Caenorhabditis elegans: one gene and its partner. The protein of the gene in region 1 purifies or fractionates together with the protein of each later gene. This does not show direct contact. Each region holds a gene or a part of one and is shown in the gene's direction. Other genes may lie near its edges.

What was found.
Region 2: the proteins of F49E8.7 (region 1) and sec-24.2 fractionate together in Caenorhabditis elegans (co-fractionation; one large-scale study listed by BioGRID). This does not show direct contact.

Annotation. Positions count from the first base shown.
Region 1 is NC_003282.8:7,550,284-7,561,697, reverse strand, and holds F49E8.7 (BACK domain-containing protein), read left to right. Parts: upstream 1-5,332; 5' UTR 5,333-5,334; coding exon 5,335-5,379; intron 5,380-5,425; coding exon 5,426-5,584; intron 5,585-5,630; coding exon 5,631-6,091; intron 6,092-6,137; coding exon 6,138-6,690; intron 6,691-6,737; coding exon 6,738-7,052; 3' UTR 7,053-7,206; downstream 7,207-11,414. Other genes in the region: ima-3 (Importin subunit alpha-3), read left to right, coding at 38-112, 158-228, 342-557, 603-1,197, 1,241-1,719, 1,799-1,907; nprl-2 (Nitrogen permease regulator 2), read right to left, coding at 3,002-3,125, 3,170-3,872, 3,917-4,228, 4,273-4,489; F49E8.8 (Phosphatidylinositol-glycan biosynthesis class F protein), read right to left, coding at 4,493-4,612, 4,674-4,880, 4,930-5,049; F49E8.6 (Early nodulin-75-like), read left to right, coding at 7,453-7,527, 7,573-7,836, 7,882-8,043; Protein dif-1, read left to right, coding at 8,834-9,128, 9,203-9,696, 9,811-9,960; oef-1 (C2H2-type domain-containing protein), read right to left, coding at 10,280-10,329, 10,671-10,824; pam-1 (Puromycin-sensitive aminopeptidase), read left to right, coding at 10,894-10,939.
Region 2 is NC_003282.8:12,358,786-12,362,385, reverse strand, and holds the start of sec-24.2 (uncharacterized protein), read left to right. Parts: upstream 1-1,593; 5' UTR 1,594-1,616; coding exon 1,617-1,811; intron 1,812-1,875; coding exon 1,876-2,064; intron 2,065-2,111; coding exon 2,112-2,423; intron 2,424-2,467; coding exon 2,468-2,628; intron 2,629-2,933; coding exon 2,934-3,163; intron 3,164-3,221; coding exon 3,222-3,331; intron 3,332-3,383; coding exon 3,384-3,600. Other genes in the region: ZC518.8 (Glutathione S-transferase), read left to right, coding at 478-498, 539-622.

The DNA of each region.
Region 1 (11,414 bases):
CTACTATTCATTTATCAAGTTTTTTTCTTTCAGCAGAATGAGTTCAAACAGACAGGCTTATTATAAGAACAATGCCAAAGAGCAAATTGGCAAGGAAAAAAGGAACGAAGAAGTAAGTTCGATAAACTTGTTAACGCATACATTATTCAATTTTAAGGTGGTTTCGATCAGAAAGGATAAACGAGAGGAGGCAATTTCCAAACGGCGTAATATCAATACCCAAATTGAGTGAGTTTTTCATCTGATTTTATATGCTTCAGCTATGAGAGCTAACAAAAGTGTTTCATACGCTTATCACAGTAAATTATCTGTTCCAGTTTTTGAATTGTTTTAATTTTCAGAGATGATTCTGAGACTTCAACAACCCCACCAGGTCCATTTGATGCCAACCTCCTCCGGTTGACAGTCGCTGCTGCCCAATCGAGCGATCCCGCTGAGCAGCTGACTGCTGTTCAACAAGCCCGTAAAATGCTATCAACTGATAGAAATCCACCAATTGATGACTTGATTGGCAGTGGGATTTTGCCTGTCCTCGTTCAATGCTTGTCCAGCACGGAGTAAGAATTTTCATAAGGTCGCATCAAATTACTGTAAATTTTCAGTCCAAACTTGCAATTTGAAGCTGCATGGGCCCTTACCAACATAGCATCTGGTACATCAGAGCAAACACAAGCCGTCGTGAATGCCGGAGCCGTTCCTCTCTTCCTGCAACTCCTGTCATGTGGAAATCTGAACGTTTGCGAGCAATCTGTCTGGGCTCTTGGTAACATCATTGGAGATGGACCACATTTCCGTGATTATTGTCTCGAACTCGGAATTCTCCAGCCACTATTGCAGTTCATTAACCCGGAGATACCTATTGGCTTCTTGAGAAATGTCACATGGGTTATTGTCAATCTCTGCAGGTGCAAAGATCCGGCACCAAGCCCAGCTGTGGTTCGTACGATTCTTCCCGCCCTCTCACTTTTGATCCATCACCAAGACACCAACATCCTCATAGACACCGTTTGGGCCCTTTCTTACCTCACCGACGGTGGAAATGAACACATTCAAATGGTTATCGAAGCTCAAGTTGTTACCCATCTCGTTCCACTCCTTGGACACGTTGATGTTAAAGTTCAAACAGCAGCACTTCGAGCTGTAGGAAATATTGTGACTGGAACCGACGAACAAACACAACTTGTGTTGGATAGCGGAGTAAAAATTTTCATTTATGACTTTTCCAAATCTTAAATTTCAGGTTCTTCGGTTTATGCCAGGACTTCTCGCCCACTACAAAGAGAAAATAAACAAAGAGGCTGTTTGGTTTGTCTCCAACATAACTGCTGGAAACCAACAACAAGTTCAAGACGTATTCGACGCCGGAATCATGCCAATGATTATTCATCTTCTTGATCGAGGAGATTTCCCAACTCAAAAAGAGGCAGCGTGGGCTATTTCCAACGTTACAATCTCTGGCCGTCCAAATCAAGTTGAGCAAATGGTAAAGCTTGGTGTCCTTCGTCCTTTCTGTGCGATGCTCAGTTGCACTGATTCGCAGATTATCCAAGTAGTGCTTGATGGAATTAACAACATTCTGAAAATGGCTGGAGAAGCTGCCGAACAGGTGACATCAGAGATTGAAGAGTGCGGAGGTCTTGACAAGATAGAAAATCTTCAAAATCATGAAAACGAGGACATTTACAAACTGGCTTTCGAAATTATCGATAACTTCTTCAGGTAGGAGTCCAATTATATTTGATAAAAATCTTCAGAGTCCGTGTGCGAATGTTTGGTGTATACGTTTTTATATTTTCAGTTCCGATGATGAGACTGGCAACGTGGAAGGAGCTCAAAGTTCTGCTTTTGGAGGCGACGTTCCACCAGTTCCTGATGCTCCAAACGGAGGATGGAACTTTGGAAAGTAGATCTCCATGATTCCTTTAATCACAAAATACGTTTTGTCTTATTTCTCGTAAACAATTTCGCATGCCGTTCCCATACAAATGTTCATGTAGTTTTCGTCTTACTATTTTTCACACCTCACTTTTTGTTAGGTTCTCGTGTATTTTCATCTGACACGCGAGTTCCTAAGCCAGCTTCTCGGAAATGCAAGCTCTCTTTCATGTGAGATTTTGCACTTTTTGACCAATTGAGTTTGCACGTTCTTCTACAATCGATTGTCAATTATCTCATCCTTTCTTTATCTCTTCGTTGTTTCTGTACCATCAGTGATTTGATTAACATTTCACTTTTTCATCCACCATCTTTTTTCCATTGTGATTAATTAGTTACAATGTCCCCGCCCTCTTCTTCGTGTGTGCGAGAGTGACTGTTTTATGATAATATATTTCGATTTCTTTTTAAAGTGAGTGTGTGAGTTGTGCATTTTTGTTGAGTTTTGTTTTCATTTTTGTTTCCCATTCGCGCCCGTTCATTGCCCGCGTCCCCCACCCTCATCCTTTTATCATTGTTACCGCGTCGTTTTCAAATCTCTCATCATTTTTCCCAGTCCCTCCAATCCCCACGGTCCCCAGATTTTCTCTCTAAAAGCGAGTATTTTCATTTTCTTCACATGTTACTTTTATTAATTCTTTATCATATACATAATTTCAATTTCTTAGAACTTCTGATCCCCCTAGTTTGCTCATTTCCTAGTCATCCATCATCATTCTCGATTTCATTAGTTCTCGGAGAATCTCGTTGATAGGCCAAAAATTCCAATCACCCTGCTCCTCTTAGTTCTCGTGGACTCCAGTATTCTTTTTCTTGAAACCCCACCCATCCCGTAAGGCCTTTTTAAAGGTATATCGAGCCGTCCCTCTTCTCATCATCCATCTTCTTTTCTCATTTTCCCTCTCATCTTCCTCATCCCATTTTCCTTTCTCCCGTTTTGCTATTCTCGATTGTCTCGACTGACTGGCCAATATTCCCTTTACCTGGTGTGTGCTCTCATAATAAATAAATCAAATTTATTTGTTAAAAGTTGTTGTAAAACGAAACAATAATACACGATTTTCATTTATTTCATGACAAACTCAAATTTTCCGGTTTCTTCCAACAGTGAGCAAAGTTGTTCGGGGTCCACATTATGTTGAAGAGAAAGTTCGTCAATTGAAGTTTTTCCATTACACCGTTTCAGGAGACTTAAAATTGTATATTATTAGATAGTATTAATTGATTAACTTACGTGTTGTTGCCTGGGTTTGCAACACAAATAGGATATTTAGAAAGTTTACGAAGAAACTGATGATGCATTCCAAATTGTACAAGTCGCTGTTCATCAATACCCATCGATCTTGGTTTCTCCAGATCGGCCCATTCTGCTAGATTGTTGCCGCACTGAAAACGTAGTCGATTGCTATCAGATTCGTCGATCGGAAGTTTAGGTCCCACCACTTTCATGCTCAAATAAAGTCGGAACACATCCGAAAATTCTGGAGTTCGCGTTGGAATTTCTGAGCCGTCTGCACCGATTTCCGTTTGAATTTTCACAAACTCAAGGCAGTCATTGATTTCCGTTTGATTTTTGTAAAAGTCGTGAACTCTTTCAGTTGCCACATATGTATTATAGTAGAGAAACATTGGAACAAGACTGACACATTCGTAGAAGTGTAAATTACGAACACATCTGGCGACGAGGGATGGATCAAGTTCGAGAATAATAGCAATCTCTCGAACTGTATTGATTCCATCAATTTGAGGAATAATCTTCTGTGACAGAACATCCATTTTTTCTATGAGATGATCGGTAAGCGTCACTTCTCTTATGAACATTGGAACCATATGATAATCGATTTCTGGAGGTTCACATCCACGATACAATGGGCATAATTTGAAATATAATGTCACAATCTTTTCATCTTCAAGACTGACTTCAATCACACTTTCGCCTAAATTTAAAATCTTGTTATTCATAGAAAAATACAAAGTTTACCTTTATTCGACAGATCATTGAACATTCTCTCCATTACATCAAGAACCTGATCCTTGTATTTTGGATTTGTGAGAAATTTGTATTCCATCTCCAATTCAATCAAATATTCCGCGCATTTCTGTACAATTGGCTCATACATTGTTTCTGCAGATGATGTCATGTCAACGATGAAAGCCATATCGAAAGTGAAACGACCACGTTCGTAGCTTTTGTGATCTATTCCAACGGGAAACATGAGAACTTTGCAGCGAAGAGATTTGATGGTCAGTGAAAATGAGTTACGGAACATGGATGGTTTTGGAATGATCAAGCCTGAAACATAAATTCATTTTATTATTTGGATTAATATAACATACCTTTTGTGAAGTGAAAAGTTGCCTCAACTTTATTATTTTCTTTCGGAACAGAATGTTTGATGATTGCACCTAAAGTGTTATGAAATTCTGCCAACAGAATTCCGAGAAGTTGTGGGGCATCATCAAATGTATAATGACCGAATCGACCACCACTTGAATCACCTGTTGCAAAAGGTCCTGCTCCGAATGTCGCAAGAGTTTTTTGACGCTGAACCATTGTTTAGCGTTTTTTAGTCTTATTGTAAGCGGTCCGCTTGATGACAAAAATCCGGGTAATGGCAATAAAAATACCAATAACTGCTCCAATAAAGCAACCGACGAGGGAAGGAAGAGGGTATCGCTGTAAATTAATTTATTACACATTTGACAAGAAGTGTATGCGCGCATATATGCGTGATTACCTGCCACCAACGATCCCAATCCAATGGATGAACAGCAGCTGCTGCCCAAGCACCCAAAAAAGCGAATACGGAGTTGAACAGTAAAACTGATTCTTTTGGTGTTGGATTGCCTTCACACGAAAATAATTGTAGGATCACTTCAACCGCTCGCTCTTCTGAATCGAATAGGAAGACGGCAGGCAGAGCAGAGACGGCCGTTAGAGCTGTCTGAAAACAGGAAAAATAAATTATTTTCATGTGCTTAATCTTCTCATACAGCAAGTACAGCGGTTGCAATTATATCAGAGAAAAACGGAGCGCCGAAAAGGACAGCGAGGATGTAAAACACCGCCCAAGAAAGAGTCACGAATCTGGCGGCCACGGGTAGACTAAGCATATGATGAAAATCCTGGAATTTTAGAAATAACAATGTTAACAGGTCTCAAGAATGTTTGTAATCATGAATGATCAATATTTACGATAGAATTAATTTACTAATTAGAAAATAAAAAAGTTATTTTAAAAAACACCATTACCAACATTGCGCGTCAGTTCCGATGTTTCTTCACGGTGTTTGCGTACTTATTGTTAAACATTATTTTTTTTCTATTTTTTTTAACTTTAATTTAACTTTGAAAAGCTTTCGGGGATACTTATTCCTTTTATTATTTATATTTTTGCAATGGGCAAAAAATCGAAGAACTCAGTCACCACACAAACTCAATGGGTAAGTGATCTCTACTATTAAAATGGAGTGGCCGTCAAAACTTCAGAAAAGACTCAAGATTGACTTTGTCGAAAGGAAAATAGACAAGGATGATGTATTTTTTGAAGAAGTCAGCGACGAGCAATTAAATGACAAAATAATTGTTCCTCTTTTCACAAGCAGTGGAACCTTTGAAGAGACTATCGGGATCTTAATTCAATGGCAAGTAAGTCTAGAGATTTTTTTACATGATAAACTTTCAAATCATTCAGGAATATTTGAAATCTCGTTCCGACAGACTCAGCGAAGTTTTCCTATCGAAAGTCAATTCATATTTTGAGCACATTCGAATCACGCTTGCTCTACCGTTTGATGAGTCGAAATGGGCAGAATTGGAAACACTGACAGAAACTGATCTCAACAAAACACCGATTTTTATCAACAATATTCGAACATCTACAGTCTCTGTCATACTCCATCTCGAAAATCTTATTAAATCGTTCCATCTGAATGTAAAAAGTGCAGAAATTTTTCCATTCGACTCTGACTCATTTGGGCTCCCACCGATCAATTGCAGGAAGATTTTGAATCCATTATTATGGATGAAAGCAGGAATCGAAAAGTTGATTCAAAATAATTGTCAATGCGACCAACCTCCAATTGTTCCACTGATTACATTGCTAGATCTTGCGCCAAAGGAAGGTCATTTTCAGGAATTAGCTATTGCCTCATTGTAAGCTATTATTATTAAATATATTATTTACATCTTATTATTTCAGCTTTCTAGAGAATACTGCCCATAAACTTGACTATTCATGTTCTGATGACGAAAAAAAGTTCCTGGATCAGATAAAGATGAAGTTTGGAACAACAAAAGTTGACAAATTAACAATGGTTTTACCGGATATTCTGATGGCATACAGCGAAGAGCTTGTGGAAAGAGTGATGCCAGTGTCATATTTCATCCCATTTGAACTCTTCCGTATGATGCTGCTCTCTTGGCAACCAAAAGTATTGAATCTTCGATTAAGAACAGAAGCATGTTCTTCTATTGAAGATGCTGCAAGAATTGAATGGGATGACGAGGATGTTTTCACTTCTACCACTCTTTTCAACTGTCCCTTGTTTGATAGATGCGAACCAGTGTGTCTTGGAGACGAAGAAATTATTTTGAATTGCAAATTGATCGTTGATTGCTCAGGAAGTCGTCTTTTTGATCCCATGTTCAACGAGGGGAACGTCTATACTGCTGGCAGAGATTTCTTGGTGTTATTCCCAATGCAAACGATCATATTGAAAAGAATTGTACCATTGAAAGTTGGTTCATCAGTGGTAAGTTCCTCTTTTGTCTTTCTAATTGGTTTTTTTTCTCATTGCAGAAAGTTCAATTGAAAAAACAAATCGACTACATAGTGAACACATTCTTCTTCAACGCCAGCGAACACCAAGATCGAGTTGTAAACTATGAACTCACATTTACCAACTCTACAGATGTTCAAATGAGTGCAGTGAAAAGATGTATACCACAAGTCGCCAATGGACGCCAAATTGGAGTCAATTTGAATGTTGAGCAAGAAACAAGAGATTTATTCACTGATCATGGCAATTCTTGCCCTGGAAGACATATGTTCGCCAGTTTTTTCGATTCAGAAAATCAGGTTATTGTAGATCTAAAAGTAGTGCTGGCCAATTAAGTTGTGCAGTATTATTATTTCCTTGTTGATTCAGTTGGTTTTCAATTCTGAGTACTCTTTCGTTGTCTGTTCTGTTTATTCTCAATGCTGTTTTCTCTGTTCTTTGTTTCTCTGCTCTTTTTTCCTTTTTCAACATAAATTTATGTGTATCCCGGCCGTAGGACGAGACTTCACTTGTTTCTCTTCCACTTGTTTCAACTTAAACGCGAATAAGTTTTTCAGTGCTATTCTGATTAGTGTGTGCACTGAAAACTGATCAGTGAGCGAGTTTGTAAGTCGTTGCTAGGCATTTTCATCTGTGGACAGCAGAGAGCGCGCTTTCATCGATCTTGATTCATTTCTCACGCTGCTGCTCTTTTCATTTCTTTTTTTTTGCTCTGAGATCGACGAGAAGTGAAAAATGCCACTTTTTGGAAGCAAGAAAACCGATAAGAAAAGTGGAATGAATGAAGCACCAAGCTATCCGAAGCAAAGTGTAAGTTTACTTAACTTTAAATCATGAATAATTTGATTTTTTTAGGCCGTTCCACCTCCTCCGCAAGTTGCCCACTATCCGATGCCAACATATCCACAAGGTCCGCTTGTTCAACAAAACGAGTTCTACTTCACCTCCGCTGGCCAACAACTCCAATCGGTTCCAACTACTACAGTCGCATTTGCAAGAACCGATCTGCCTGGGGCTTACGACAACTTCTGTGAGGGATTCCTCGACGGACCAGACTTCTCAAACCGAGTCCCAGACAGGAACATTCCCCCTGCTCCAGGATCGTATTACTTCTACTCGGTAACACACATTTTTAAATTTCAACTTTACCATACCCACTTTCAGCATGGCAACAGCTCAACCCCGTCGTTCGCCCCTCCCTACTGTGCTCCACCACCAGGTCCATCTTCATCTGCTCCACCAACACTCCCGACGTCTTCAGGCAACCTGCCGCCACCTCCAACCTACGAACAGGTTCTCTCGCAGGAAGTGAAAGAAAAACTATGATAATTTCGCTGAAGATTTTTCAACATTTTCAACACTGTATTCCCTTTGCATCTGTGATTGCTGTTTGCATACTAAATCATAATTATTCTGCGATTTCATTTTTTGTGCTCTTAATTTAGTCATTTTACCTGAACGATATTTTGATCAAACCACATTTATGCATTTATTTTCTCCCAAGACTACAAATAAGCCACGATGTAGTCTTCCTGAAGGGCAAAGTGCAAAAAACGAATGCTATCTGCGTCTCCCCGGTTTCTGTACTATCTCAATAACGTTTCGTTATCTTCTCTTTCTCGGAGAGTAGTCCAGCAATCTCTGTGTTCATTGGCTGTTATTTGTGGCGAACCCTCACAGCAACGACGTGGTCGGACACACAAACATTTTCTTCACTTATTTTTTTATCTTCCTTTTGTTGTTGATATCTTCGTAAACATTCGTTCCCACTATCGATCTAAATAGGATAAAAAAGCTTTACTGTTCTTTAAAAACTCCTAAAAATCCAATTTTAAATTTTATATTCGAAATTTAGCGTTTAAAGTGCAATTTTCTTTGATAAGATAAGTTAAGATAAGTTAAACATTTCTTACAAGGCCTGACAGGGTTTTCTTAAATTCAGAAATGTATTAACTTGAACAAAACTAAATATTATCACCCTTTTTTTAAATAACAGGATTCAGGTATTTTTCTTAAATCAAAAAACCACTTAATTTCTACATTAACCTTACTTAATATCGGAAAATTTCAGCCATCAGATCGAAGTTTTTACATTTTATTTTTCAGACGCATTGAAATGTCGGACGTTCTTCTGAATTTCATCGCAGGAGGAGTCGGTGGATCATGTACCGTAATCGTCGGACATCCATTCGATACTGTCAAAGTCCGAATTCAAACTATGCCAATGCCAAAACCAGGGGAGAAGCCACAATTTACCGGAGCTCTTGATTGTGTCAAACGAACAGTTTCCAAAGAAGGATTTTTTGCCCTCTACAAAGGAATGGCAGCTCCACTTGTTGGTGTTTCTCCACTTTTTGCAGTTTTTTTCGGAGGATGTGCAGTTGGAAAATGGCTGCAGCAAACTGATCCAAGTTAGTACTAAATCATCATGGGCAAACAAATAAATTGAAAATATGAGAATTAATCTTACCATTTTGCATTTCAGGCCAGGAGATGACATTCATCCAAAACGCTAATGCTGGAGCTCTTGCTGGAGTCTTCACAACAATTGTGATGGTTCCTGGTGAACGAATCAAGTGTCTTCTTCAAGTTCAGCAAGCTGGATCTGCTGGTTCTGGAGTTCATTACGATGGTCCACTTGATGTTGTCAAAAAACTATATAAACAAGGAGGAATTTCATCAATCTACAGAGGAACTGGTGCCACTCTGCTCAGAGACATCCCAGCTTCAGCCGCTTATCTTTCAGTATATGAATATCTAAAAAAGAAATTCTCTGGAGAAGGAGCTCAAAGAACATTGTCACCAGGAGCAACATTGATGGCTGGAGGACTTGCTGGTATTGCCAATTGGGGAGTGTGTATTCCAGCTGATGTTCTCAAATCTCGATTACAAACAGCCCCTGAAGGAAAGTATCCAGATGGAATCCGTGGAGTTTTGAGAGAGGTTCTTCGCGAAGAGGGTCCTAGAGCTCTGTTCAAGGTGATTTTTTTTAAACGATTGGGACGATGCAAGTGAATTTTTCGTCATTTCTCGACACATTTACATACATATATACTTTACCTGATTTCTAGCTACAATTTGTATAAATTTCAGGGATTCTGGCCAGTAATGCTCCGTGCTTTCCCTGCAAACGCTGCCTGTTTCTTCGGACTTGAACTCACGTTGGCTGCCTTCCGTTACTTTGGCATTGGTGGACACCCAACACCATCTACAGAAGTTGTTCCACTCCCACACGACGAGTAAATTTTTGAAAATTCTCATTTTTCTAATTAGTTTATACCATATTTATTTGATATTTTTTTCATTATTCAAAAACATTTACCCGAGTTGCCTTCTATTTCCATGTTTTGGGCATTTGTATGTTGTGTATATTTCTACATGAAAATCGTAAATTTTTTGATGAACTTCAAGAAGTGCTCAATGTTGAATTATATTTACCGTGTTCAGCTGTCGCTATACAATTTTTTTTGAGAAACAGGTTCATTAAATGCAGAACAATTATCGAAACAAAAGAGTACAACGGGTATGGTGAAAAAAAAACAGGGGAACATTTAAGATAAGACTATTCTAGATCGATGACGCTCTGAAGACTGCCAGGTTCACTTTCTGAAACTATTTTCACAATTTTAAACGATTGGGATAGTGATGATTGGAGTTAAATTGAATTTCATTAATTGAAAAACCTACACTAAATAAGAGTATTCTGGAAATGAGTAGTTTTAATTTAGAAATTCTTTTTTAGAAAACCTAACCTTTCTGGAAGAAATTGTATTGAAAAAAAGTTTTAAAAACACCGAAAATTATAATCATCAATAAAAATTTCTTTTCAAACGTTTACTATATTTACTACTCCTACAAAAATTTGGAAAAAAACAAAATAATGCTGAGAGCGATAATATTTCAAAACCATCCAAAAGAAAGCTGAAAATTCTAATCTAAATAATGACATTTACCTTTATTTCCTGTATCTATAGACTCGCTTCGAGCACCTTCTTCAGAATCAGTTTCATCCTGATTATCAAAAATATCATAGTCTGAATCCATCGAGCGTGTAGGTTTTCCGCGTTCAGAATTATCCAGACGACTTTGCTTGCTTTCTTTTCCATTCTAAAAATAACATTGATTTTACAAAATTATATACTAAAAATCTGTAATTCTGTCGTTCCAGATTTCAGAATGCTGGGAAGATTAGCAGTTCGACAGGCTGTCCGTTGCAGTAAAGGTAATTAATTTCCCGTTTTCTAGGAAATTTTGTAATTTTACATAGCTTAGAAGTAATTGCAAAAAAAAGCAGATTTTGCAGATTTTGGTCATGTGAGTTGATAAGACTGACAGCTGATAAATTCAGTACTCTGAATTCGTGGAAACAATAATATTAAATGATAAGTGTCACTTGATCAACTGTGCACAACTATACTACTGAATATTGTGAAATCTGGTCATCTAGATATCAGCAATAGCATGGTCAGAATAATAACATCCTAGCCGTTAAGATCAGCACAGGAGCCAAAAATACGGTACCCGGTCTCGACACGACAAATTTTTCTTAAATACAAGGTCTGCCCCTTTAAAGATTACTGTAGTTTCAAAATCTCGATTCTGTAACATTTTCATCCTGTTTTAAACCTATTTTTTGAACAAACACATCAATTTTATTGGAAAACAATGAGAAAAACGAGAGATTGAAGTTACAGTAC
Region 2 (3,600 bases), 4.8 Mb from region 1:
TACACGCTGGCCACTGGCATAACCACATTTTTAATTTTTTTTTTTTGAAATTATTAAAGTCAACAGATAGTTTTAATTTATGAATTTATTTTATTTTAATTTTAAAATTTTGAATTTCAGTTTAAAAAATTAAAACCGTTTTTATGTTGATCTAAATAGTAATTTTATTTAATTAAATTTTCAAAATGTGATTTTAAAATTATTAAAAGGTAAGTTTGAGTTTTTCTAACTAAATTGTGTGGAATTTCTCTCGAGAATTGACACAAGATACATTTAAATGACACTTTTTCGGTTCAAAAAGTACCTTTTTAACACTCTGACCATTTAAAATACCGGTCATCCGCCAGAAGTGATTGTTTGGCTGAAATAGTAACAAAATATTGTTATTTTAAGAAACACAATTGGAGAACGGTGTCCGCTCTCACTCTGCGGTGGTGGCGGTCGCTCCAATAGAGGCTTGGCCGGGCGAACGCGGCGATGCCTGCGTATCTAACTACGGTATGCATTCAATGTTTTCTGCCAACCGCACTTTTTACAGAATCCAGGAACACCAGTTTCGGGGGAAGCTTTCACATTCGGAAACCTTTATCAAATTGACAATTTTTCATTTATATTACACTAAAACACTCAAAACACCCTCCATTATCGATTTTTGATCCAATTGCTGAGTTGGAACTTTCTTCTCACTTACTAATAAAACCTGTGTTGAACGCTATGAAAATTATTTAACATCTTGCTGATCTTCTCTCGCTTTGTTCATACGAGGGCCTCCCTCTCGGCGATATTCTTCCACCTCTTCTCCTATTTTTCGTACAGTAAATGTTCTTTTTTGTTCCGCTCCTCTGAATTATTTCAAGGATTACGTGGAAATTGAGAGTGAGAGTGAAGAGTAAAAGAGAAAGCGAGAAAACAGTGATTTTATTGATTTCAGCGCAAAATCCACGTTTCACAATGAAGCAGAAACCGACGACGCCAATGTGTGGCGAGAGAAGAAGGCAAAATGAAAAAGAATTTCCAGCGAGGCAAAGAGAAAGAGCGCGAGACGCTAGTGTCTGTGTGCATCGCGCGCTTGAGGTCGCCTTCCATGGCGTAATTCTTCGTGTTCAATGAGATACTCGAGCAAAATCAGAAAATATTGTCATAAATATTTTTGTTTACGTTGTAAAATCTATTCTAAAGATCGCCGGTGAGAAGAGAGTCGCGAAATTTCGAAGCGTTGCGAAGTTAGGCAAATTTCAAGAGCAATTAATTATTAAACGCTATAAACTTTGCTGAAAATGAAAATAATGACTTTAAAAACTGAAGTGAACATTTAAACGATATTTGCGCCAAAAATAAATTATATTTGTTCAGCAGTATGCTGGTTTTTCGCGCAAAAAAAATTAGAAAAAAATGTGATCACTGATTTTCTCTAGTTGTGCATTTGTTCGTCATTCTGTTTGCACCCATCTAAATCTACCGTACTCTCTGAAGTTATTGATTAAATTTCTTTCGCCACGTTCATTCGTCTCGTCAGCTAAATATTTATCTACCGTTGTGAACTTGTTTTATTTTGTTCTTTTCTCGCAATATAATTTCATTATACAATTTCAGCGGGTTACACGAGCTATCGACGGATGTCGAATATACCGACAGCGCCGGGAAACGTTGGATTTCCGCAGGCGTACGGTCAAAACCAGAATCAACAATATCAACACGTCCAACAATTCAGTCAGTTTTCTCAACCATCTGCGGCTCCGTTAAATAATGCTCCTCCCAATTATGCAGCCAATCCGTTTCCTTTTCCGACTGCAACGACTTCGCAAGAGCCGGTATGTATTGATTCTCATCTTTACTTTCATATTTCCATTTCCTTCCTTAATTTTCTATTTTCAGGTGAAACCCGTATCTCAAATCCCAAATGGAGCACCAAGTTATCAATATAACCATGCTGCGCCAAATTATCCAACTGCAGCTTCAGCTTTTCCAGCTCATTCTGCAGGATTTTCTCATCAACCACCGTCCTTTTCACCCGCTACTCAGCCTTCTATGAACGGCCATCATGCTCCACCACCACCAGCTGTGGTATGGTTAATACTGCATATACAGAAGAATTGAATGTTTTATTTCAGTCCCGACCGCCAGCGTTTCCAACTCCACCACCATCAGTTGGTTCAGCAGCTCCAAGTATTCAGCCTCCGATCCCATCTGCACTTGCTTCAGCCCGACCTGCTCCATTTCCTGCTGCTCAACCTCCACCGGCACCAACTCCAACGCCTTCTTATCAGCAACAAATGGCTCCACGGCCTCAAGCACCAGCTGCTTATCCTCCGGCTTCACAGCAACAAGGATATCCTCCCCAGCCACAGCAAAATTCACAGTATGGTCAACCACAAGTCCCACAACCTCAAATGCAAAATATGAATCAGCAATTTGGACAAATGGTTTATTCATATTTGTTATTTCCCCGTATAAAGTTGATTTTCAGAACATGAGCGGAGCTCCTGGTCCTCAGCAACAAATGGGCGGGTATCGCAATGATATAATTGATCTGATTGCTGAAAGAAATGTTCAACAACTTGGTTTTGAAGATATCGAGATTCAGATTCCTCAACAAGTCGCGAATCCGAATGCTCATGTTGATCCAAAGTGAGGATTTTCTCTTGAAGAAGGAATTCTGTTTGTATAAATAAACTCAAAATGTGGCCGAATGGACGAATTTCGTAGTGAGACTTCTCAAAAATGCCTTCGCTACTGGCTGATATCAGCTAAAATCTCGAATCGCAGCTGTCGGAATTTGACTTTTATTTAGTTTAAATCCTTTATTGCATATTTTGATCGATTATCTCGCATCAAGAAATTGGTTCATCTGACCAAATTTTGAGTCTATACAAGCAAAAATCCAGAATCGTTACTATTGCAGATATTAGAAATATTAATAATTTTCTCTTCAGTATTTTCCGCTCAACACTCGCCCAAGTTCCACAAACAGAAGAACTACTGAAAAAGAGTCGATTACCATTTGCAATAACACTTCATCCGTTCCGAGATGTTAAGAATCTCAATATTATACAAACATCGAATATTGTACGTTGTCGGTATTGTCGGACATATATTAATCCATATGTATATCTTCCTGATCATCGACACTGGAAATGCAATCTCTGTAATAGAAATAACGACCGTATGTTGACTGAAAAATGTGAAATTGAGAAAATGCGAAAACCATTTTTTGTTTTCAGTGCCTGATGATTTCTGCTGGGACCCAGTGACAAAAGCATTCGGAGATCCTCGAAACAGACCGGAAATTCAAAATGCGACGGTTGAATTTATTGCTCCATCGGAATACATGGTATTTTCATATTTTAAACGATGTTTTTCTAAATTTAAACAAGCGATTTCAGTTACGTCCACCTCAACCTGCTGTCTATGTATTCGTGATTGATATTAGTGCTGCAGCAATTCAATCAGGCTATTTACACACATTTGCCGAGCAACTTCTCATCAATATAGATCAAATGCCAGGAGATGATCGTTCTCAAGTGTGCTTCATTGCTGTCGATCAATGCTTGCATTTCTTCTCATTTTCTAGTAATAAGCGGTATCCGAATGAAATGATTG